7 separate regions of the Mus musculus genome follow, and regions 1, 2, 3, 5, 6 and 7 are each reported to be linked to region 4. The links are microRNA targets in miRTarBase. Many come from high-throughput screens and were not tested one by one. Region 4 holds a microRNA gene; each other region holds the end of a gene's coding sequence.

Region 1 (3,099 bases), not on the chromosome of region 4:
CAGAAGAGGGCGTCAGATCTCATTACAGATGGTTGTGAGCCACCATGTGGTTGCTGGGAATTGAACTCAGGACCTCTGGAAAAGTGGTCAGTGCTCTTAACCTCTGAGCCATCTCTCCAGCCCCCTCCTCTTTTGAGACAAAGTTCCATGTAACCAAACTGGCCTTTATGCTATGATGTTGCCACGGAGGATAGCCTTGAAATTCCGACCCATCTGTTTCTACCTCCCAAGGAGAAAATTTCTTCGTGCCAGTAAGAACCCTACCTGGTGAACAAAGTGGTTTTTCTTTAAAATAACATATGACAGTGACTTACAAAGTAAATTGCCAAGAACCTCAAAGAAATGTGAGAAGCGTTACCATAATGACCCACTTCCCAAAGCCCAAATCACGTTCCTCCTTCCTGAGCCCTGGTGCTCAGGTACAAGGCTCAAGCTTCACAAAGTCCATTTTGCCTTTATCTTATAGCTCCTCAGACTGACCCTTGACTCTCTTTGTGGACATGTGCTGCACAACCTCCCCCCTCCCCCAGGATGCAGTGTGAGCTCTTTAAGGACACGGCCGTATATCATTTGTGTTTTACCTTCACTTCAACAAAGCTCTGCTTGTACCGTGAGTTCATAGTATTAAGTTCCATAAACATACTGTTGGTCCAATCTTACCACTGAGATGAAGCAACTGAAGATGCCACTGTCCTGTTGCTGCCTCCCCCTGCCTGGTTGGTAGAAGCACCACAAGGCCCACATCAGAGAGCAAGCATGGGAGTGAGAGCAATGCACGCTAAAGAGAGGAGTGTAGCCAGCCCTTCCCTCAAGCCTGCAGAGAGAGCAGCCACTGTGCTTGCTGGTGTAAGGCACAGAGCACTCTACAACGCTCTGCCCTGCCTCGTTTAGAACTTGACCAGCCAAGCCTGGTCCCAATGAATACAGCACACAAACAGCCTTGCCCTCTGTGCCTGCCTCTCCCCCTCTCACCCCTACTCTCCTTTGGCAGAGCAAGATGCCTTTAGTGTCTCCACAGTCCACCCTCACCTCAGGGTCTTCCTAACCTACAGCTCCTTCCTACCTCAGCATTCAGTCCCTTCCACAATCCTAGAAGCTCTGCATTTGCCACTTAGCATGTGAAATTCTCCACTGACACTTTCGCCAGTCCCTGACGCACATAAGACTGACTAGGTTACCCCTCAAGGAAGGGAGATCCATTTCAGCCAGTGCTGGTCCTCGCATTCCGCCACCACTGGACAGATTGACAGATGGCTCCACTCTTGTAGGATTTTTTTTTTTTTTTTTGGCTTTGCTTTGCTTTGTTGATTATTAGGCAATACCAGACCACATCCTGTTCCTCTCATTGAATTCCATTCCTAGATGTTGGTTGGGCTTACTTTGATTGATTCTGGAGTCACTGTCCCAGTCTGTCACCACAAAGGTCACCTCTCCTGTTACAACGGCCTTTACTGTTTGAAAATCCTTGAGCACAGAGCAATGCTGTCAGAGCAGTTATTACTGGCCCCATTCCACAGACTTGTACTCCAAGGTCACTTATCAGCACTTGCCCAACATCACCCAGGTAATAAGATGCTGAACCCTAACTCAAGTTCAGATCCACCAGCTCCTGGAATGCCAGGATGCTATTACATCATCCCTTCTCTGCCCCTTCCGCCATTCTTACAACTAAGCTCCTGTTTGTGTCCAGGGAGTTGTTGGGTTCTGTTCTTGTACCTTCATGTTCTTGTTGACTATCTTTGCCAAGTGTTTATTATGTCTGCTGCAGGTGCTTACGTGCCTACAGAAGTAATAGACAAGATGGCCATCTGAGAGTCTGAACTCTCTCCAAATCCTAAACAGGGTCCTGCCAACCGAAGGTCCTGAGCCTGGGACTAAAGATAGGCACAAGTGACATGAATCCTTGTGGACTTCGAGTGCCTGGCAGAGCCTCTGTGGAGGGTGACTGGGAGAACAAGGACCACAGGAGCAGCAGCTGCCATTCCTTGAGCACCTACTGAGTGAGAGGCTCTATGCTAGTTCTTTATTAACATCATTTAATCCTTACAACCAATTTCTAAGGGATTATTATTGGCACATGAGAAAACTAATGCTCAAAGATGCGGGGCCAGAATATAACCCACATTTGTCTGACTCCAAAAAGAGCATATAAATAGCAAACTTCAATTTAAAAACACAATCATCCCTTACTCCCTGAAGGCAGTCCTACCTTTGACTTTCCTTTTCCCAGAAAAAAAAAAAAATTAGGGAGAGGAAAGCAGGGCAGGTTGTACCTCATACATAAACACACACACACACACACACACACACACACACACCACTCATATTTGTCACCAACACCCTGGATTTCATAGCTAGGTTAGGGCTATAATGGGTGAGTTTCCCCAAGACCCTAGTCCCCTTTCCTGGTGCTAAATAAAAATGAATAAATACCAAATAAATACAACTAGGGCCCAGGACCCACCCTGTCTTCCCCCCATTCCTCCTGTGACCTGCAGGGTAGAGGGGGCAGTTTAGTAGATAGGGTACTGTCACCTAGCCCCTTTCCATTCACCAAGACATCACTGCCTCCCAGGGCAGGAAGCCAGGGCAGGGCCAGCCTGCGGTTTGGGGCAGTGAGGCAGGCAGATCTCACCCTCTACACCTCCCTACTGTGTTTTAGCAGGAGGCAGTTGCAGAAGCCTGCTCATTCTCCCAGATGAGTCCGAGGCCCCGGCGCCCAAAAAGGGCAGCCGGGACAGTGAGGTTATTTCCGGCCTGCCCAGGGACGCTTCCGAAGGATCTTCAGTATCTCTGCCCTGCGTTGCAGCCAGTCTTGGGGAGGAGGGCGTGGTGTTGAAGGGACTGGCCGCGGGACAAAGAAACTGTACCGCAGACGTGCATTCTGTGGGTTGCCAGCCACCAGGACTTGCAGCGTCAAGGGCTGGGCCAGCGGCCCATGTCCAGACAGTGTCTCTGAGGCTGCTGTGGCTCCGCTGTAGCGCAAGCTGACTGCCCCAGGAAGAACCACATCTGTTGGGGAGGGCATCAGCGTGTATTCACCATTGAGGGCGTAAGAACCGTCAGAAAGCTTCAGGGCCAGGTAGATGCTCTTGAGAC
Region 2 (3,099 bases), not on the chromosome of region 4:
CTAGAATCCTGTGTATCTCCACCCCCACCCCCACCCCAATGTACAGTGTCCAGCCTAAAAAGGCTTTTCCATGGGTGAAGAAGTCAGAGATACAGGAGATGCTCCTACTGCGTTCTTCCTCCCATTTTCTGTGTTCTTAATGGGCATTACTGCGATCTTGGTAAATCCCAGTCATTTAGTCATTTATGTTTAGCAGGTACATTTGATTTCATGACATCATGTTTAATTAAAAATCCATACGGGCAGTGCAATTCTAGAGTATCAGAGAAGTCAGACCAGAGGAAAAATGCACGCGCTCAGCAAATCCTTGGTCATGTTGCTAAGTGGAAAGGAAAGGGAGAGCTGTTGTTCCCTGGCACGTCGCATGCCCCACAGCACCCCTGTGAGCACAGGCTGCATGGTGTTGGTGGCCCCTGTGTCTGATGATGACTCTTCTCTGCTCACAGGTCAATGAATTGACAGTGGAGCAGCTGGTGCAGCAGTACCCGCACATCACCTTCAGCACCGTTCTGCAGGACTGCAAGAGGACCTTGGAGAGAGCCTACCAGATGGGCTGGACCCCCAATATGTCCGCTGCCACCTCCTAACTCTCTTCCTATGCCCAGGTCTACTCAGGCCGGTTCAGCAGAATGGAGAAATGGGGGGCTCCAATAGGGGGTCTTTCGGAAAGGTTTTAACCGTCACCTGTCAGTGTGTGTACCCGAGTGTTCCGTTTGTGTCTTGTTTGCATTCTGCATAGCATAAGCGCACTGTTACTTACCCCAAGGTGAGCTGGCTTGTTTTCCCTAAAACAGAAGATTATGAAAACCAGGACCTTTTTGTTTTTTGTTTTGTTTTCCAATTCAAACGTCTATTTCTCTAAAAAGACTTTGTGGAATCTCAAGTCAGAAAACTGGTTGTATAGTTTTGAGCTTTTAAGTTCTGACACATCTCGGAAATGCTCGCAGAAAGGCTTTGTTCGGTGATAGGTAGGCTACTTGTACGCTTCTGAGAAGACCAAAACAGAAGTGATGTTGCTCTAACTAGAAGCCTGGAGACTAGAACCCCTCAAAATCCTGGAGTACACAGCTAAAGTTCCACTCTCTTGTACTGTCATACACACATGCTAGGTCAGGTTCTCGCTTGGTAAATTCTTTCCTGCCAGAGGAACCTTCCTGGGTCATGAAGAGAGCATGCCTTCCACTGTGGCTATGCCTAACGTACTGTGCCCAGTGGTGGACAACTTGCTGTCTTATAGGTAACTTAGGAAGTAGACTGAATAAAGCCTTTTGTAAATTTGTATATGGAGGCAACAGTCTGATGTCCCCTGGCCAGCTCACAAAAGTTAATTATTCATTATTCTGTAAATGCATTCTGTTAAGTAATAAATATTTTAGTTGGTTTTGCATTAACACTGTGTTCGCTTTTACTGTGTGGACAGTTACTGGTCAAGATGCATTTTAGTGACATTTGGGGCTAATCTTGGCATTATTCACATTGAAGCCATGAATGTAATTAATGGTGTGCAGTTATTTTAAAAATTTTACAGATCATTTCATTATTTTGGTAATTATGAAAATATATTCTGAGGTGGGGTAGTTATTGATAGAAGATTAATGAATGAGATGTATGTAGACAATCTTCCTATTGTATTTTTTTCCTTTGCTTTGGGATTGAGAACAGGTTTTTTGAATATATGCATGTTATAATTTTAAATAGTTCTTACACTACTGCAAAGATCTACTGTTAGCTAACGTATGAGCTAAGGAGAGAATTTAGAAAATCTGTTCATTAAGATTCTGTTTACACTTGCCAGAAATACATATTTTAGTTTAATTAAGTATTACCAGCTTTTACTTCTGTCAGTACCTATCAGGAAAGGAGTGTAAGTTTTGATGTCACACATTTCTACAGTCAGCCGTTGCAGGGACTCAGGCTCAGATGACCTCTCCTATGTCTGGATTTATAAGCAGGCAGCAGGGAGCCTTTTTAAGCTAAAGAGTGATTATCTTTCGTAGTAGGAAAAGCAAAACCTTGACTTTTGAACTTGCTATTTATTCTCCCTGTATGTGGTCTTTGGTCTTTAACAATTATAATGAGGTTTGAGTTTGTTTCCTATAAATCCCAGCCCTGCGGAAGCAATGCTAGCTGTAGGAGGCAGAAGCTGCCTTCCATTTGCACACCATGCACGTGTGTGTAACAACTCCTTCTCTGTAGAAAAGGTTTGTTTCCCTCCAGTTTGTCAACATGCTTCTGATGTGGCAGTTTATTGTTTTAATCCCAATCAGTTAAAAAACAAAAAGTACCTTTTTCATAACCAAATAGGAGATTTTATGTGACATATGTATTATTACATCATTACCATAGGAACCAAAGTCTAGTCCCATGGATGTTATTTCCTCTTCCATTTTAATTGAGTCATGAACATGTACCAAAACCAGCTGGCAATATGACAGTCATTGCGACTGAAGGGTCAGTTGGAGTCAGGCCTACTATGACTATCGGTAAATAGGAGGTTTTTCCTCTTGGGCACTATGCTTAGAAGATTAACTCAGCTCTCCTGCGGGATGTTTAATACACGCATTGCCGCTACATGGGACTCTTCAGTCACCAAAACGCAGCCATCTGCAGGAACATATTCCCAAACTAAAACCATATCTAAGATCCTTCAGCGCCCAGTCCTGTGATCTCCCTTGGCTAATAACGAACTGTAAGGATGCCAGCAGCTCATGAAGAAAGGGAGACTTCCAAAAGAGCCTGCGTTGTTTGATTCAGCTGTTTTATTCACAACAGGATGGAAGAGACAGTCATGCATTTCTGAAAGTTTTTCCACAGTTTGGCATCACTTGAAAGATCTGGAGATGAGAAGCATTGATGGAAAGTGGCCCGAGGACACAGGGCAGGCTGATGCTCGCTCACTAACTCTTCTGTAGCCTGAGATCTCCTCAGCCTGTGCCTTGTGCATGCATGCGCGCCCACATGCCCAAATGCACCATTCAGCCAGAAAAGATGACTACAGAACGCAGTCTGTTCAACTTTGTGATTAATATAATAGAAGATGGAAAAACGAGTCACTAAATAAAGACTTGTTAAACCTAACAGTCTCACAAATAGATGCTG
Region 3 (3,099 bases), not on the chromosome of region 4:
TTTTTGTACTAAAAAAGTAAACTTGATTCACCAGAGACAGGATTTAAGAGCTAAGAAAAGCAACAGACCCAAAAGGCTGCAGCTCAGATGGATTGCAGAGACCTCAGAGGTAGATGCTTTCAATTGTACGATCCCTGATGAACTGTGGAACAGAATCTATTTGGAAAACACGAGAGCGACTCTGGCGTACATAGGGGCGATTACGCAACACATTTCTTCGCAGTGTCCCAGCTGTAATAGCAAAAGAGCAGAGCTGGCTCAGTCTGACTTCCTGAGACGAAGGAAAACTTTACTGCAGTCACTACTACTCCAAGAGAAAATAGATGAACACCTTCATACCACAGACTTTCTCACCCGTGTTGGAGAAGCACATCAGGGCTTCCCCAGGCTTTCAGATGATCCTAGGATCATCTGGAAGCGACTGACTGAGAAAATGCTGAAGGGAAGCTCCGGCTTTGGGCGGGCATATTCAAAGCAGGTGTAGGAAGACTGTACAAGTCTTTTTAATGATTCTCAACTCACACGTCCAACCAGATAGGAGGTGCTGACTACTAATGATGATATGTACTATGCCCAACCAGGGGATGGTGACTATTGGTGATTAGTGATAACATGTGTTGTGCATACATGTACCTGGTGTGGATTTGAGTAATTACCATCTCATATAGAGGAAATTTAGAAACTAATGTAAGATTTACTTCTGCTTCCTTCACTGAAGTCTAAATCATTAAATCCAATAGATTTTTCACATTATGGAAGACAATTGGAGAAATTGCAAAACTTTTGTAATCTAGGGGAATATATATATATATATATATATATATATATATATATATATATATATGTATGTATATGTGTGTGTGTGTGGTATTCTCTCTATACACACACACACATATGAATGATGGTAGTTTGGAGTGGTGGTGGACAGTACAGAGAGAAAGAAGTAAACAGATATAAGATAGTTAGGAAGCAGCGATGAGGGCTGGTTTTGGTGATAAAGAGGCTGTGGAGACTAACTTTGAAAAGGCACTAGGATTTTGACTTGTGTACCTGTGTACTCGACTGAATAGTAATTTCCTTAAGACAGAATTCTATTTAGTTTCTGTCAACTTGACAAAAACTAGAGTCACTTGTGGAGAGGAAACCTCAACTGAGAAATTGCCTTTCTCCACCGGTCTCCAGGCATTTCTGAGGGAGCATTTACTTCCTTAATGATTGAGGCGGGAGGGTTTGTGCCACTGCCATCCTTAGTCAGGTAGTCTCAGGCTGTGTAACATGGCAAGCTCAGCAAGATATGGAAAGCAAGCCAGTAAGTCACATTTCCCCATGCGTTCTGTTTAGTCCTTGCCCAAAAGTTTCTGCCTTCACTTCCTGTCTCTGCATCCCTCTATGACCTACAATAACCTATTAACTAAATAAAACTGTTTCTTCTCTAAGCTAGTTTTGCTTATTCAACACACATACACACTCCACCCCACCCCAGTAACAGAAACCCAACCAATTGGTACCAGAAATCGATACCAGAGAGTAGGGCATTGCTGTGACAGATGTGACCATGTTTTGGCTTGGGTGTGTGGGGGTGGCTTTTGTGGGAAGACTTGAGAACTTTGTGCTAGGCAAGGTCTTTGCAGTCTCAGAGCTTAATGACCAGGTAGGAGAGCCTGTAGCATAGGAATGTTGGGGAGGGGCAGATGATGGAGAGCTGGCTTCTAAAGGTTTAGAGGGAAACAAAGACCCTATCAGGAATGTTTATGTCAGAATCAAGAATCTGACAAGGGGTCATTGTGCTGGTTTCTATCTAAGCTGACACAAACTAGAGCCACTTAGGAAGAGGGAGTCTCACTTGAGCACTTGCCTCTATCATACTAGCCTATGTCCATATCTGTGGGATACTTCTTGATTATATCAAGGCCTGGGCTACTGTGGCTGGTGCCACCCTGGGGCAAGGTACTGGGTTGTTAGGAAGCAAGCTAAGAAATCCATTGGAAAAACAAGTCAGTAAGCAATACTCCTCCATGGTCTTTGCTTCAGTTCCCGCTTTCAAGTTGTTGCTGGGAGTTACTACCATGTCACCCCTAAATGATGGGTGGTACTCTGTAAGCTTAGCAAATCCTTTCCTTACCCTAACTGGTTTTGATGGATGTTCTTATTATATTTCTGTATAATAAAACACAATACAGCTAGGAAGACTACAACATGGCGAATTTGAAGGTGTGATTGAATATAATTCTTTATATCTAAGTAGTGTGTGGTGTATTTGAGACATATACATTGAGAGTATAAAGAAGCAGGTTATTTATATGTAGAGTCAACAGGAAAGGTTTAGAGGCTAGACTAGTGGGGAAATCATTGGCATGTAGTTAGACATTGAAGCCGGAGATGGGACAAACTTCTAGAAGCTAGGAGAGAGAAAAGAAGCAGACTGATTGCAGCTTCTGAGAAATGCTGACCATTAATAAAGTATGTTTGTGTGTGTGTGTGATAATCATGCAAGAATAAAACAGCGAAATAAAGAATATGAATATATACTACATAAAGAGTTTAATTGCTGGCAAGAAAACAAGATGAAGCTGAGGGCTTCAATATAGCAGTGTGTGTGTGCGTGTGTGTATTGTATATAACGTACACATATGTATCTATATTGTATATAACAATGCGGGATTGTTATAAACAATCCATTTTGGTCATAATGATTTTATGAATCTTCTCTATGTCCTAGTTTTCGGTCAAACAAACTATCATTTTTTGAAGAGCAGTTTGCCATTAATGGGGGGAAATCACATGTTCCTTGATAGCTCATATTTATGATTTATTTTTCTATAAAAATGCTAGCATTGATGGCATTACCCAGAGACTGTTTTCCACACATCAGATTATTTGAGTGAAAGTTAATTGTATTTGCAAACGATGGCTCTTTTTTTTCATTATTTTTTTAATTAGGTATTTTCTTCATTTACATTTCCAATGCTACCCCAAAAGTCCCCCAAACCCCCCACTTCCCTCACCCCCAATCCCACTTCTTGGCACTGGCATTCCCCTGTACTGAGGCATATAAAGTTTGCAAGACCAATGGGCCTCTCTTTCCACTGATGGCCAACT
Region 4 (3,099 bases):
TGCATATTCATATACAGAAGTGAATATGTACACAACTATACACACCTGCACATTCTTGGTGGGCATCACATGAATCGCATGCTGAACTCTAACTCATCATGAAGTTAAACATGAATTTGAACTCCTCATCCTCCTGACACTGGCAAGAGTGCTCACCTCCTAACTGAGACATAGCTCTGGCCATTCCTATGAATGTGTGTGCATGTGTGTATATGCATATTCATATAGAGAAGTGAATATGCACACAACTATACACACATGTACATTTTGGTGGGCATAATATGAATCCCATGCTGATCATGAACTCATCATGAAATTCAGCACGAACTTGAACTCCTGATCCACCTGACTCTGTCAAGGGATTTCACCTACTGAGTGAGACCTCTCCCCATTCAGTACTGAAAAATCTTAAAACTCTAAGTCACATGTCATTCAAATGGATCGATGAGTTGCACTGATGTTTTTGTGTGTGTTTCTGTTTGTGTCTGTGTACATGTACATATTTGTGTAGATAGGTACATCCATATACTCAAATCCACACACAATAGAAACAGATACAGATAGGGATACATAGGGGACATCACATGAATCCCAGGCATATCTCTAAGTCATCATGAAGTAAAGCATGAATTAGAACTCCTGATCCACAATCTTTCACACCTGATGAGTAAAACCATTCACTGTCCCACTACTTCATAATCTTGAAAACTTTGAGTCACATGTCATTCAAACGTATAAATGAATGCAATTTTTTCCTGTGTGTGTGTGCTTGCATAAACACGTGTGTTTATGTTATGTATATCATGTCAACACATACAATGCACATACAAGTAAGCACACATGCACATACATGGGTTGCATGACATTAATACCAAGATGATCTCCAAATGAAGTTAAGCATGAATTTGCAATCCTTATCCTCCTGACTTTGTCAATCTTTTACACCTGGTGAGTGAGTCCATTCAATGTCCCCTATTGCATAATCTCTAAAACTCTACATCACTTATCATTCAAAGGGATTGGCGAATGCCATTCCTGTGTCTGTGTATGTGTGCTTGCGTTTATACGTGTGTGTGTATGTTATGTATATTCAAATATAGACATGAACATGCACACACAACTATACACACATGCACATACATGGAGGAATCACAGGCTGATCTCTCATGAGGATAAGTGTAAATTTGAACTCCTGATACTCTTAACTCTAGCAAGCATTTTCACTCTAAGTCACTTATCATTCAAATGGATTGACGAGTGCCATTCCCCTGTGTCTGTGTGCTCATATGTGTCTTATGTGTGCGTGTATGTATATGTATATCATATTCACATATGTACATGCACACACACATCAACACATATACACATACGTAGGGGCAATCACATGAATGCCAGGATGACCTCTAACTCATCATGCCTTTACTATGAACTTGCACTCCTGATCTTCCCGACTCTACCAAGGGTTTTCCCGTGGTTTGTGAGACCTCACCCTGGCCCAGTCATACATAACCTCCAAAGCAGTAGGTCACATATCATTCAAATGGATCCGTGAAGGCCATTTCCGCATGTCTGTGTGCATGTGTGTGTAGGTGTGTGTATGTATATGCATAAAATATACACGCATATACATGCAGGCACTTACGCACACGGGCACATACATAGGGGCCATCACATTATTCCAGGATGATCTCTAACTGCTCATGAAGTTAAGCATGAAATTGAACTCCTGATCCTCCTGACACTGCCAATTATTTACACCTGGTGAGTGAGACCTTCACTGTCCCTCTACTTTATAATCAGCAAAATTCTAAGACATATATCATTCAAATGGATCAATGAGTGTCATTCTTATGTGTGTGAGTGTGCACGCCTGTGTGTGTGAATACATTTGTATGTGTGTGTATTTATATGTATGATCATATACACACATGTACGTGCACACACAATTATATGCACTTGTGCATACCTAGGATCCATCACACAAATACAGGGTGATCTCTAACTCATTATGAAGTTAAGCATGAATTTGAACTCCTGAGACTCCTAACTCTGGCAAGTGGTTTTCATCTGATAAGTGAGATTATTCCCTATACCATGAATATACACTCAATGAAATTATAAGCACGTATAAATCAAATGGATGACTGCCATGTGTGTATGTGTGCACATGTATGTGTCCCTAGTTGTGTGGGTGTGTATATATATATATATATATATATATATATATATATATATATATGCATGTTCATATACGCGCATGTACAGGCATACTTCCCTATACACATAAACACAAACACAGGGAAAATCACATGAATTCCCGGCTGATCTCTAACTCATCATAAAGTTAAACATGAATTTGAACTACTCATCCTCATGATGCTGGCAAGAGTATTCACCTCCTAACTGATTAATAGCTCGGGCCATTCATGGGAGTATGTTTGCGTGTGAGTATATGCATATTCATATACAGAAGTGATTATGTACACAACTATACACACATGCACATTCTTGGTGGGCATCACATGAATCGCATGCTGAACTCTAACTCATCATGAAGTTAAACATGAATTTGAACTCCTCATCCTCCTGACACTGGCAAGAGTACTCACCTCCTGAGACATAGCTCTGGCCATTCCTATGAATGTGTGTGCATGTGTGTATATGCATATTCATATAGAGAAGTGAATATGCAGACAACTATACACACATGCACATTTTTGGTGGGCATAAGATGAATCCCATGCTGATCATGAACTCATCATGAAATTCAGCACAAATTTGAACTCCTGATCCACCTGACTCTGTCAAGGGACTTCACCTGCTGAGTGAGACCTCTCCCCATTCAGTACTGAGGAATCTTAAAACTCTAAGTCACACGTCATTCAAATGGATCGATGAGTTGCACTGATGTTTGTGTGTGTGTTTCTGTTTGTGTCTGTGTACATGTATATATTTGTGTAGATAGGAACATACATATACTCAAATCCACACAAAATATAAACAGATACAGATAGGGATACATAGGGGGCATCACATGAATCCCAGGCATATCTCTAAGTCATCATGAAGTAAAGCATGAATTAGAACTCCTGATCCACA
Region 5 (3,099 bases), not on the chromosome of region 4:
CCCAAGGAGAAAGAGCAGACTGCTTAGTGAAAATTATTTGATGTATGGTATGTTCTAGTTTGGAAACTGTCATTCACATGATAGAAAGTGGTTTTATGACATATGATTCCTTCATAAGAGATCAGTCATTTTTCCTTTTCCTGTTGTGAGAGTCTGAATACAAAAGCAAGTATCTCTAGATGCTTGAACACGAGGACTCTCAAAATATTCAATAATGTTGCTTTGGTTATATTCAGTATTTCTGTGTTGGTGACTTAACAGTTTTTAGGATAAATTAACCAGAATAGCAACATATTTGTTCCTCTTGACTTAGCACAAAGCATTGAAGTTACACAGAACATCCAGTCCAGACCTCTCAGTTTGGATTTCTTTGATGGTTCCAAAATCCAAGAAGTGTAGAGGAACCTTCACACTTGTTTCAAGAGGCAGCAAAGTCTTTCTTCCTCTTACTTTTTAAGAACATCAATCAAACTCTTAAAAGTTCGAACAAACTCATGCTTACAGATATCAGCCAACAAACTTCGTTAGGAGTATAGAATTTCCCTTCCACAGTCAGTGGGACCAGGATTTTTATATATGAATATGGTTAGAGAAAGAGACTGTAGAATACATCTCTGAAAGAGAAGACAAACAGCATGAAGGAAGAGGCTCCACAACTGTACCCACAGTTCTTTAATGACTAGGATAGAAGAGTTAGCGTGTATCAGGAAGTAACAGAATCAGAGGGTATTAGGCAAAATGATTCCCAATGGAATCCATTCAGCAACCTGAATACTTCTAGCCCCAAAGTACACCACAGCCATATTTTGAAGTTTCTGACTTAAGGGCATAGGTGCTTTCTATTTAACTATGTCAGTGGGGCTGCTAAGTTTTCATTCACTATCTGCTGAATGGAGTTCCTATATCAAAAAATAAAAACAAACTAACAAACAAACAAAACCCAGGATGGTCCCAAGGAGTATGCACAACTAACGTTTTATAGGATGGTCCTATAGCACTAATCTACATAAATACAACTGAATATTACTAAAGCAAAGAGTAATAAAGAAAGAAAAATGTTACCAATTCATTCAGCTGCATGGGCTTTTTGTAGAAATGGTCTTGAGATCTGGAGATCAATAAATGAGTAAAGTAGAATTTACAGTTAGTTGGAAGGCTGGACATTAGGGCCCCAGCAGAGGTCAAGACAATGGTAAGAAAAGGATGCCATCTCTAAGCGAACAACATCATGCAATAATGACACAAAGATAAAGACAAACAAATGTGTGTTGAAGTAATCCCTGTTCAAATCAATCCTGCCTGCAAGATAGAAAAGGATGATGACATTTGAATGGGAGATCAGCATTCTGGAACCTTGAGATGATCTGGTCTCACCACAAAGTTTACAAAGAAGGGCAATGAGCGCCAGTGAGTTTCAATGTTTTCCCCAAAGTCACACAGCCATACAGGGACCAACTCCACAAGGATAACTGGTTTCCTGATTCCTAGTTCAGACACTGTTCCCACAACCATACTGCCTCCCAGATAGCCACAAGAGTAAATGAACTTTACATAGAGAACTCTCCTCATGATAAGAGCAAGAACAGAAAGACTCTGACCGAGCAAGCTGAAAGAGCAGACATAGCCATTGAGCATTTCTGTCTTTTCCACCACAGAATGGTAGACCAAAGGTCAAGGAAGCAAAAGCTATTGAACTAAACTGGTGACCATGCCCACCTCTTTAGGCAAGAAAGGGAGGCAGGTCTAGTCAACACCAAACACTAACAGTATTGCTAACTAAAACAAAAGGAAATTCTTTTTACTAGAATATTTGTAATAATCATCAATAATAATGATAATATTTTTTAAAAAACACTTGAAATTGCTTATTACAAACACACATGTGGTACAGAAATGTTTGTGTGGAGGAACATGAATAGCTACCTCCCCTGTAATGCTAGAGCTCTGTTCCCAAAGGATACCAACGGGGTTACCCCAGGATATAAGGAATTTTCTCAATTTCTCCTTTACATTTAGATTCTCCACTTCCCTGATACCAATGCCAATACTGGTCCAACAAGTTTCAGAAACAGAACACTGATGGGAAGATTATCTGAGACACTTGATGTACATGATTTTTAGCAAAAGTCTGTGATTTCTCTGTAAATTACTAATCTGAAATAGACACAATAAACTGTCCACAGCTTCAACTTCAAATGATCTGAACAAAAATAGAACGAGCCATGGACAGTGTCTGCATCCCTGTCCAATTTGATGTAAACAACATTTGTAGAAACTGGGTTTGTTAAGAAAGTTTATCCATACATCTGGATAGCAATAAAAAGCGTTTCCTAGGAAACTGTAAGATCCTGTACCATACAGCATACAGCCCAACGAAGAGAAAATTAGATTGATTCTTAAATTCAAGGTACAAATTTACACAATTTTTCTTAACTCCCGCGGTGGTGCTGTCCGAATGAAGTGGGCGTGTACCTTGGTGGTTATATCTGTCCCCCAAGTTTCCTGTTGCCATCTTGCCTGTAGAGCGCCTTGGTCCTATCTGGATTTCCTCCTCAGATGTGGTTCCCCTGAACACAGACTCCCTGTGTAATTGTGTCCTTCAGCTTTAGTTCCAGTGTGGTCAATACTGTCCTTCTGCTGCCAAGGACACCACTGTCTCATGTCTTCCCATTTCTTCCAGGACGGCTGCCAGCATGCTCAGGTTTCCATCTGGGAAGTTCTGTGCTTCCCAAAGATCCAGGATTACGCCAGTTGGGCTCGATTTGGTGGCAAAGTAATTCAAGTACCTGCAATCAAGAATGGGAAAATATGCTTAGAGGTGTGATTTACAGGTCTATTTACAGTATTATCTTCTCTGCGTTGGCACTAAACCTGTCTGTCTTGAAGCATTTCAGTCCTACCGTGGATCCTAGTGAACTCCACTTAATGATTGCTCGGTTCCTAATTAGATCAGCTCCAGACAGGACATGTGCTGTTTAACTTTGTTAACCTCAACTCTGAATAGGATAATTTAAGAGACAACGTGTCTGTGGGTTTTGTCCTAAACAGGAAATCAAGAGGCTTATGTTTTCTGTCCAGTCTGGACTCTGATGATCTTTG
Region 6 (3,099 bases), not on the chromosome of region 4:
TATACTATTCAGAAAATGAAAGTTGTATATGAACTACTATTTAATATCTCGTAGGATCCAATCAATGAACAAAATTTTGATGCTTACGTGACTACTTTGACGGAAATGTATACAAATCAAGATCGTTATCAGAGTCCAGAAAATAAAGCCCTACTGGAAAATATAAAGCAGGCTGTGAGAGGAATTCAGGTCTGAACAGCTGCTCTAGTGGTGACTCATGCTTAAAAAGGATGCCTCTTGTTTCTTGCTGCTGTAACTTACCAGAAAGTGTTATATATTTATTTCTGTCGGAACAGTGTTATGCTACAAGACTTCATAATGGTTTTGTGTGCTCTCGAGAGAGTACCTGCAGACTAGTTTTGGATACATTCACATTTTGTACGTTTTCATATAAGCTGACATAGTGTGATTTGCCATGTAATGTTTATAGCTGCTGCTGTCTGCACATTTGGGGGTCTCTATATTTCTGAAGAGGTAAGCTGATGAAAATAAATAGAGTGTAAATTCTTTTTAATGCTTTAGTGATTAAATGTTTTAGTATTTTGAACTGAAATGGACAAAAAAAGAAAAAGGAAAAAAAAAGCAGGTTTGAACGATCACTTTGTGGCCTCCTGGCCACTTTTAGACATTATCATTTTGCCTCAGGTTGGAGGACTTTGTGGAATTTAAGAAATACATTTTGTGTGCATATTGTTTCATAGCAAGAATTGGTTGCAAAAAAATGCTTTATTTTTGAACAATGCTTGGAAATATTATGTGACTTTTTTGTTTGTTTGTTTTAGGAGGATGGTGTATGGTGGGGGCAATAAATGAGGTTTTTTGCATTCCAAGGAAATGGCATATGGATTAACTATAAGAAATGAAATAAGTAATTTATTGTAAGACAACATCAAGCCATGGAAACTTGGCAGAAGATTCAAAGCAGCTTAAACAGCACTTTTAATTAACTCCTAAACATTACATGGTGGGACTGTGGAGACTCCGTTAAGACAGGAGCTTGTCAGAGGTGGACAACACGAAGATTTCCTTTGCATTTTCAGTAACCTTTGGAGCACACTTCTCTTATTTCTCCTAGAGCCCCGTGCCCCTCTGAAGTGTTACCACAATCTAGCTTACCTAGCAGCCGTTGATTGTTTTTTTTCCATCTGAGCAAACAGGTAATTTAAGCATTTATCTCCCCTTTCACTTTCAAAAAGAATCATCATTGATTATTCTTGTTTCACATCTGAGGATGAAGGCTAACGGCTGTGCTTGCCCTGGTTACTGGATGGGATTCTCTGCTGGGCGGGTGGGGAAGCAGCTCTACCCTTCCCTACCCCTCCCTGCCCCAACTCTGACTTCGAATAAGCCTTGGTCCTATCCAGAATACACTGGACACCAAGGCCAAGGACGTTCACGTTCTGCCCTCGCTGGGTCCAGCTGACTCTAGCGTCTGCACAGCCTTGTGTGACTCGTGGTGACCTAACCTGAGAAAGAGTGCAATCAGATGTTAAAGTAACTAAATAGACTGCGGCACTTTTTTGCTTTAAACTAGATCATCTTAGATTTGTCGATACCTTCGAAATTTGATGGTTTCATCCCAAATGACTGCACTATATGTATGCATACGGCCACTTTTGATTGCTGCGCCCCTTCTGAGTAGTCTTTGACAATGTGTTGTGTTCCCCGATGTCGACTTGATTTCCTTTTAGTAGCATCTCTCTCTTCCATGTCTTGATGTTATGCAGGAAGTACAAAAGTACTTTAAAATTTTGTTATGAAATAAAAAAAAAAAGGATGGGTTTTGTAAAAATAATAAAAAAAATATTTTTAGCAGAACAGGACTTACAGGGTCATTGTCCCCACAATGTGCCAGTCGGCTCTTTGCACTCGCCTTGTCCTATATATCCGTACGGAGGTGTGCAATCCTGTGTCAGTCGCCTTGTGACACTGAAGTGGATGAGTTATAGAGGAGGCCCTCGAGGCTGACCCAATACGGTTACTAAGGGAGACTACAGGGATCTCACGACAAACATTCTGATACAATACTCAACCTCGGTATATATATATATATATATATATATATACATATATATATATGTATAAATATAAGAATATCCCAGCGGCACTTTATACTGTTCACTGTACAAAAGCTTACAGTTTTCCACAAGGACTTTAATAACTAGCTGGGGAAAAGATTATGTAATTACTTGGGGCTCTGCAGGACCTTCTCTGTCCAGCGCCCCCTTTCTGTTGTGCGATTAGTTGTAGCTGCCATGCTCAGAATTGCCTTTTGAGAGCTGAAGCAAGGTGCTTACTGTCACCTGATGCCATACACATGGTCCCAGGCCCACACCCGGGGGGCCTCTGTTCATAGCGGCACATGCATTTCCCCACCGCGTCTTGTCTGCAGCTTCTTGGCCAATGTAGTAATGCTTTTAGTAGAGTAATAGGTAGTATCAGTTTGGATTCTTATTGTTATCACCTATGTACAATGGAGAGGGGTTCTAAGCACAAATCTGCTGCTCATGTAACGGTGGTACATAATATCAAATCAAAAGTTATCTGTGACTATATATAGGGATCACAAAGTGTCACATGTTAGAATGCTGACCTTCCACATGGGGTTATTGTGAGTCATCAGAGCATATTTATTATAACTTATTGTTCATATTCATTTCTAAGTTAATTTAAGTAATCATTTATTAAGACAGAATTTTGTATAAACTATTTATTGTGCTCTCTGTGGAACTGAAGTTTGATTTATTTTTGTACTACACGGCATGGGTTTGTTGACACTTTAATTTTGCTATAAATGTGTGGAATCACAAGTTGCTGTGATACTTCATTTTTAAATTGTGAACTTTGTACAAACTTTGTCATGCTGATGTGAACACATCTTACTCTGAATAAAAAGGTGTTGCCACGTTTGTAGCACGAAGGATCTCTAATGGGTCTGAGTCTTCACTGGAGCGTGCCATCTGGGCTCCTGGAGCCCTCCGCCTCCCTCTCCCACCCTGGGTCTCTTGCCTTTGGAGCAGCACTGTGGGATTAGGCTGGAACTTGGGGCACGTGTGGATACGCACCCCCGGGCATCATGCTTGCTGTGCTTCCCAGAGG
Region 7 (3,000 bases), not on the chromosome of region 4:
AAATGCTGATCCTAGGACATCTGGGATGTGGGAAACTACAGTGAAGAGGAAGTGGGGGAGGGGGGCATATGGGCATGACCGTGTGGACCACTAGCCACCTCTGTGGCTTCCTGAGAACTGAAGTGACAGGGCTTCAGGAAGACTCCTGACCTTGGCAGCTGGATCAAGGTCAACGTATTAAGTAGGTAGCTTAGTTAGACTACAGCTGTAAAAAACTCAGGTGTAGTCACTCTGTGGGTAGCAGCGGACAGACATTGTGAGGGTAGAAAGAATTCCTAGGGCACTACAGAACCTAGCTGTAGAAGACAACACAACTTCAAGCTGCTCTGAGCTCTGTGGGTTTAGAAAAGTGAAGGTCTCTTAACAGATTACTATTTATTTTGGAGATGTTGTATTTGTTGTGTATGAGGAACAGATAAAGTTTGAAAATTTAAGATCACAGCCTACAAAACGGCTAGAGGCGAGTCTTCTATAGAAAATGAGTTTTGAAGCGCCCGGTCGAGAAGAGAAACGAGTCGTGAGACACTTTCTATAGTTGTAAAACCCAACATCTTTCTTTTATGATTTTATTACTTACAAAATAAAAACACATTAGGAAAAAAATATTTCCCTTTGCAAGATATAGAAACTACAATCTTTGGAAAATACATAAACCCCCGTAATTGTTACAATACATAGCCTTGTATACCACTTGAACATTGTTTAAAAATCATACCCTGTAAAGGTTGGTATAAGAAACATTGTCTCCAATGTCAGCCACATATCCTGACATCCATGTACTTAAGACACAGTTGAAATATAATGTATTTCCAAAGGGGTTATCTTCCACTATCCCAGACACTCTTCTATTGTGTAAGTTTGGTGGTACTCCAGGAGTGGAACTCAGTAAGAGGAGGCTGCTATGGAAACCAGCTATTGCAGCCCTCCCTCCCGTCATCCCTCAGGATGCCCTCTAAGACCCCTCCAGAGTACTAAGAGTCTGCTGACTCTGTGTTTTCTAGGATGTTGGTAGAACGGCACCATTGGCAGATCTATGCGGGGTCAAATGCAACTGAGGTGATTCAGCTAAGTACATATGTAGGATGTCAGGTGGCTAAGGTGATTTAAAACCACCAAACTCAAAGTTCCTCTTAGGAACTACTGGAGAAGATCCTTTCATAGCTAAATGTAAGATCCAGGAGACCAGTCCCTTCCTCCAGAAGAGCTGTGAGGAGTGTGGGAGAGAGCAATAGCCCCTCAAGTCTGCAGCTAATGATAACAGTAGACAGTGTCTGACAAAGTAAGAGGTGGCAGCCACAATGGCCTCACCATAAAGGCATCCAAAGCGCCCCAAAGACGCATGGTCATTTACTCCCAATCTACCAAGTTTTCCTCTTTCACAGAGGAGTACTGGCCTGCTGGTGCTCCACAGATAGAATCTACTGTCTAAGTTCACACTAGGATTGTGTGTCAAAGACTGGCTTGTACCTGTGTTCTTTCCGTATATGCAAAAGACTGGGAAAACCAATCAACTATGGAGTAACAAGTCTTTACATTTTTCGTATGCCACAAGCATTATAACATACCATTCCAAGATGGAAAAAGACTGTACGTTTATTAACAGACATGTACTGTAAAGGTATAAATATTTGGTTTAATGCGAAGGGAGCCTGCGGGATGAACCTTCTAGAACTGTGGGTTTTGAAAATGAAAACGGTAGAATCTGGGCAATCTGATAATGGCCCAGCCTAGTACAATCCTGAGAAAAAAATTGTATTTGGCATCACACTATGAATTCAAAGAGAATTTGTAGAAAAACCACCGCATCTGAAGTGAAATCACCTCAGGATGGGAATGTACACACTGATCACGCCAAGATTTTGCTCTCATGATTTCAAGGTTGGAAATCTCGGAATGTTAAAAAAAAAGTGCAATTTCAATAAAACAGGAGACAACTGAAATTCAAAATGATAGCCAGAGTTGTTAATATTCTGAAAGAGAGAACTGCTAACCACATGTGGCAAGCTGAAGGCTCTGTTCAGAGTACATATAAAAAGTCCCAGCATCAAAACGAAAAGGCACACATGAGTTAAAAGTGTAGTAATCATCTCTAAGATCCTTGAGAATAAGGCTGGTTCGCTTATACTCCTATGGGTAGGTAGGCACCTAGACCAAGTTGCAGCTTTGGCATCCTAAGTGGGATGATATTGCAATCAACAGATTAGCACAGTACTAACTAGAGCAGCATTGTCAACGTTGAGCTTCTTATGTGCACTGCTAAAATAGAGGATCTCCCATCCACATCCCGGGTCAGAAATAAATTTTAAAAATTGTACTCATAAAAATTTCTGAAATTCCTCAAATGAGCTCCCTTCTCATCAATGGTAACCCAACCAAGGAGCCAAAGCAAAGATAAAAGCTATCCAGACTGTGAGGCTAGCCTAGCTAGCTACTCTTTTTTGTTTTTGTTTTTCGAGACAGGGCTTCTCTGTGTAGCCTTGGCTGTCCTGGAACTCACTTTGTAGACCAGGCTGGCCTCAAACTCAGAAATCCGCCTGCCTCTGCCTCCCGAGTGCTGGGATTAAAGGCGTGCGCCAACACGCCCGGCTAGCTAGCTACTCTTAACTAAAAACGCACTATGTTTAAAAATGGCACTTTATGAAAGGTATTAAAGAAAGCCAATGAGTGATGAAGATTCTCCAGGTATGTGTGTGGGTGTGCAAGATGTCTGAGCTAGGTGACAGCACACTTGAAAATAAAAACCAGGTTTCAGCAGTGACACTTCATTTGGAACCCTGCAGCCATCGACGAATGGTTGCTCCAGTGGTGCTGACCACCACACAGAGGGCCCCACCCACCGTCCACCAAGTTGGTACATTATCAAAGAAAGCAATCTGAAAGATGAAAGCAAAGACTATATCCATGGTCTTCATTATCGCTACGAGTCCTGCTTTTTCTATTTGAACTGCTTTAGTGATAAATATCTGACCCCCCAAACCTAGGAGTCCAATGAGTATGAGA

What was found. Region 4 holds the annotated microRNA mmu-miR-466a-3p (UAUACAUACACGCACACAUAAGA, at 1,292-1,314, opposite strand). A microRNA usually pairs through its seed, bases 2 to 8, with sites in the 3' UTR of a target mRNA and lowers its output. Matches are read on the target gene's strand: a 7mer-m8 pairs with bases 2 to 8, a 7mer-A1 pairs with bases 2 to 7 and ends in A, and an 8mer does both.
Region 1: the mRNA of Adamts4 is a reported target of mmu-miR-466a-3p. Seed matches in the 3' UTR shown: 7mer-m8 at 2,277-2,283.
Region 2: the mRNA of Fbxl17 is a reported target of mmu-miR-466a-3p. Seed matches in the 3' UTR shown: 7mer-m8 at 2,321-2,327.
Region 3: the mRNA of AI429214 is a reported target of mmu-miR-466a-3p. Seed matches in the 3' UTR shown: 7mer-m8 at 842-848 and 8mer at 846-853.
Region 5: miRTarBase lists Unc5c as a target of mmu-miR-466a-3p. The part of its 3' UTR that is shown has no 7-base or 8-base seed match.
Region 6: miRTarBase lists Myt1l as a target of mmu-miR-466a-3p. Seed matches in the 3' UTR shown: 7mer-m8 at 1,596-1,602 and 8mer at 2,077-2,084.
Region 7: miRTarBase lists Slc35g1 as a target of mmu-miR-466a-3p. Seed matches in the 3' UTR shown: 7mer-m8 at 671-677 and 7mer-m8 at 645-651.

What each region holds. Positions count from the first base shown.
Region 1 is chr1:171,258,826-171,261,924 of GRCm38, reverse strand. Adamts4 (a disintegrin-like and metallopeptidase (reprolysin type) with thrombospondin type 1 motif, 4) reads right to left here. Exons shown (of 9, transcript NM_172845.3): 9 at 1-3,099. The coding sequence ends at 2,747. Among named protein-coding and RNA genes, the nearest start is that of B4galt3, 10 kb to the left of the region's middle.
Region 2 is chr17:63,057,759-63,060,857 of GRCm38, reverse strand. It overlaps Fbxl17 (F-box and leucine-rich repeat protein 17), which reads left to right. Exons shown (of 9, transcript NM_015794.1): 9 at 447-3,099. The coding sequence ends at 587. Among named protein-coding and RNA genes, the nearest start is that of Gm34324, 19 kb to the right of the region's middle.
Region 3 is chr8:36,994,098-36,997,196 of GRCm38, forward strand. It overlaps AI429214 (expressed sequence AI429214), which reads left to right. Exons shown (of 1, transcript NM_001039220.3): 1 at 1-1,436. The coding sequence ends at 484. The region is part of intron 2 of G630064G18Rik (RIKEN cDNA G630064G18 gene); the gene reads right to left. Among named protein-coding and RNA genes, the nearest start is that of AI429214, 2.1 kb to the left of the region's middle.
Region 4 is chr2:10,489,604-10,492,702 of GRCm38, reverse strand. It overlaps Gm25285 (predicted gene, 25285), which reads right to left and starts at 1,367; the gene lies at 1,278-1,367. All of the region lies in intron 10 of Sfmbt2 (Scm-like with four mbt domains 2), which reads right to left. Mir467a-6 (microRNA 467a-6) reads right to left here and starts at 1,655; the gene lies at 1,573-1,655. Mir669a-8 (microRNA 669a-8) reads right to left here and starts at 1,137; the gene lies at 1,051-1,137.
Region 5 is chr3:141,828,094-141,831,192 of GRCm38, reverse strand. Unc5c (unc-5 netrin receptor C) reads right to left here. Exons shown (of 16, transcript NM_009472.4): 16 at 1-2,786. The coding sequence ends at 2,621. Among named protein-coding and RNA genes, the nearest start is that of Gm15689, 150 kb to the right of the region's middle.
Region 6 is chr12:29,920,287-29,923,385 of GRCm38, forward strand. It overlaps Myt1l (myelin transcription factor 1-like), which reads left to right. Exons shown (of 25, transcript NM_001093775.1): 25 at 55-2,923. The coding sequence ends at 195. Among named protein-coding and RNA genes, the nearest start is that of Gm46346, 6.5 kb to the left of the region's middle.
Region 7 is chr19:38,403,141-38,406,140 of GRCm38, reverse strand. It overlaps Slc35g1 (solute carrier family 35, member G1), which reads right to left. Exons shown (of 3, transcript NM_175507.3): 3 at 534-3,000. The coding sequence ends at 2,763. Among named protein-coding and RNA genes, the nearest start is that of Slc35g1, 8.7 kb to the right of the region's middle.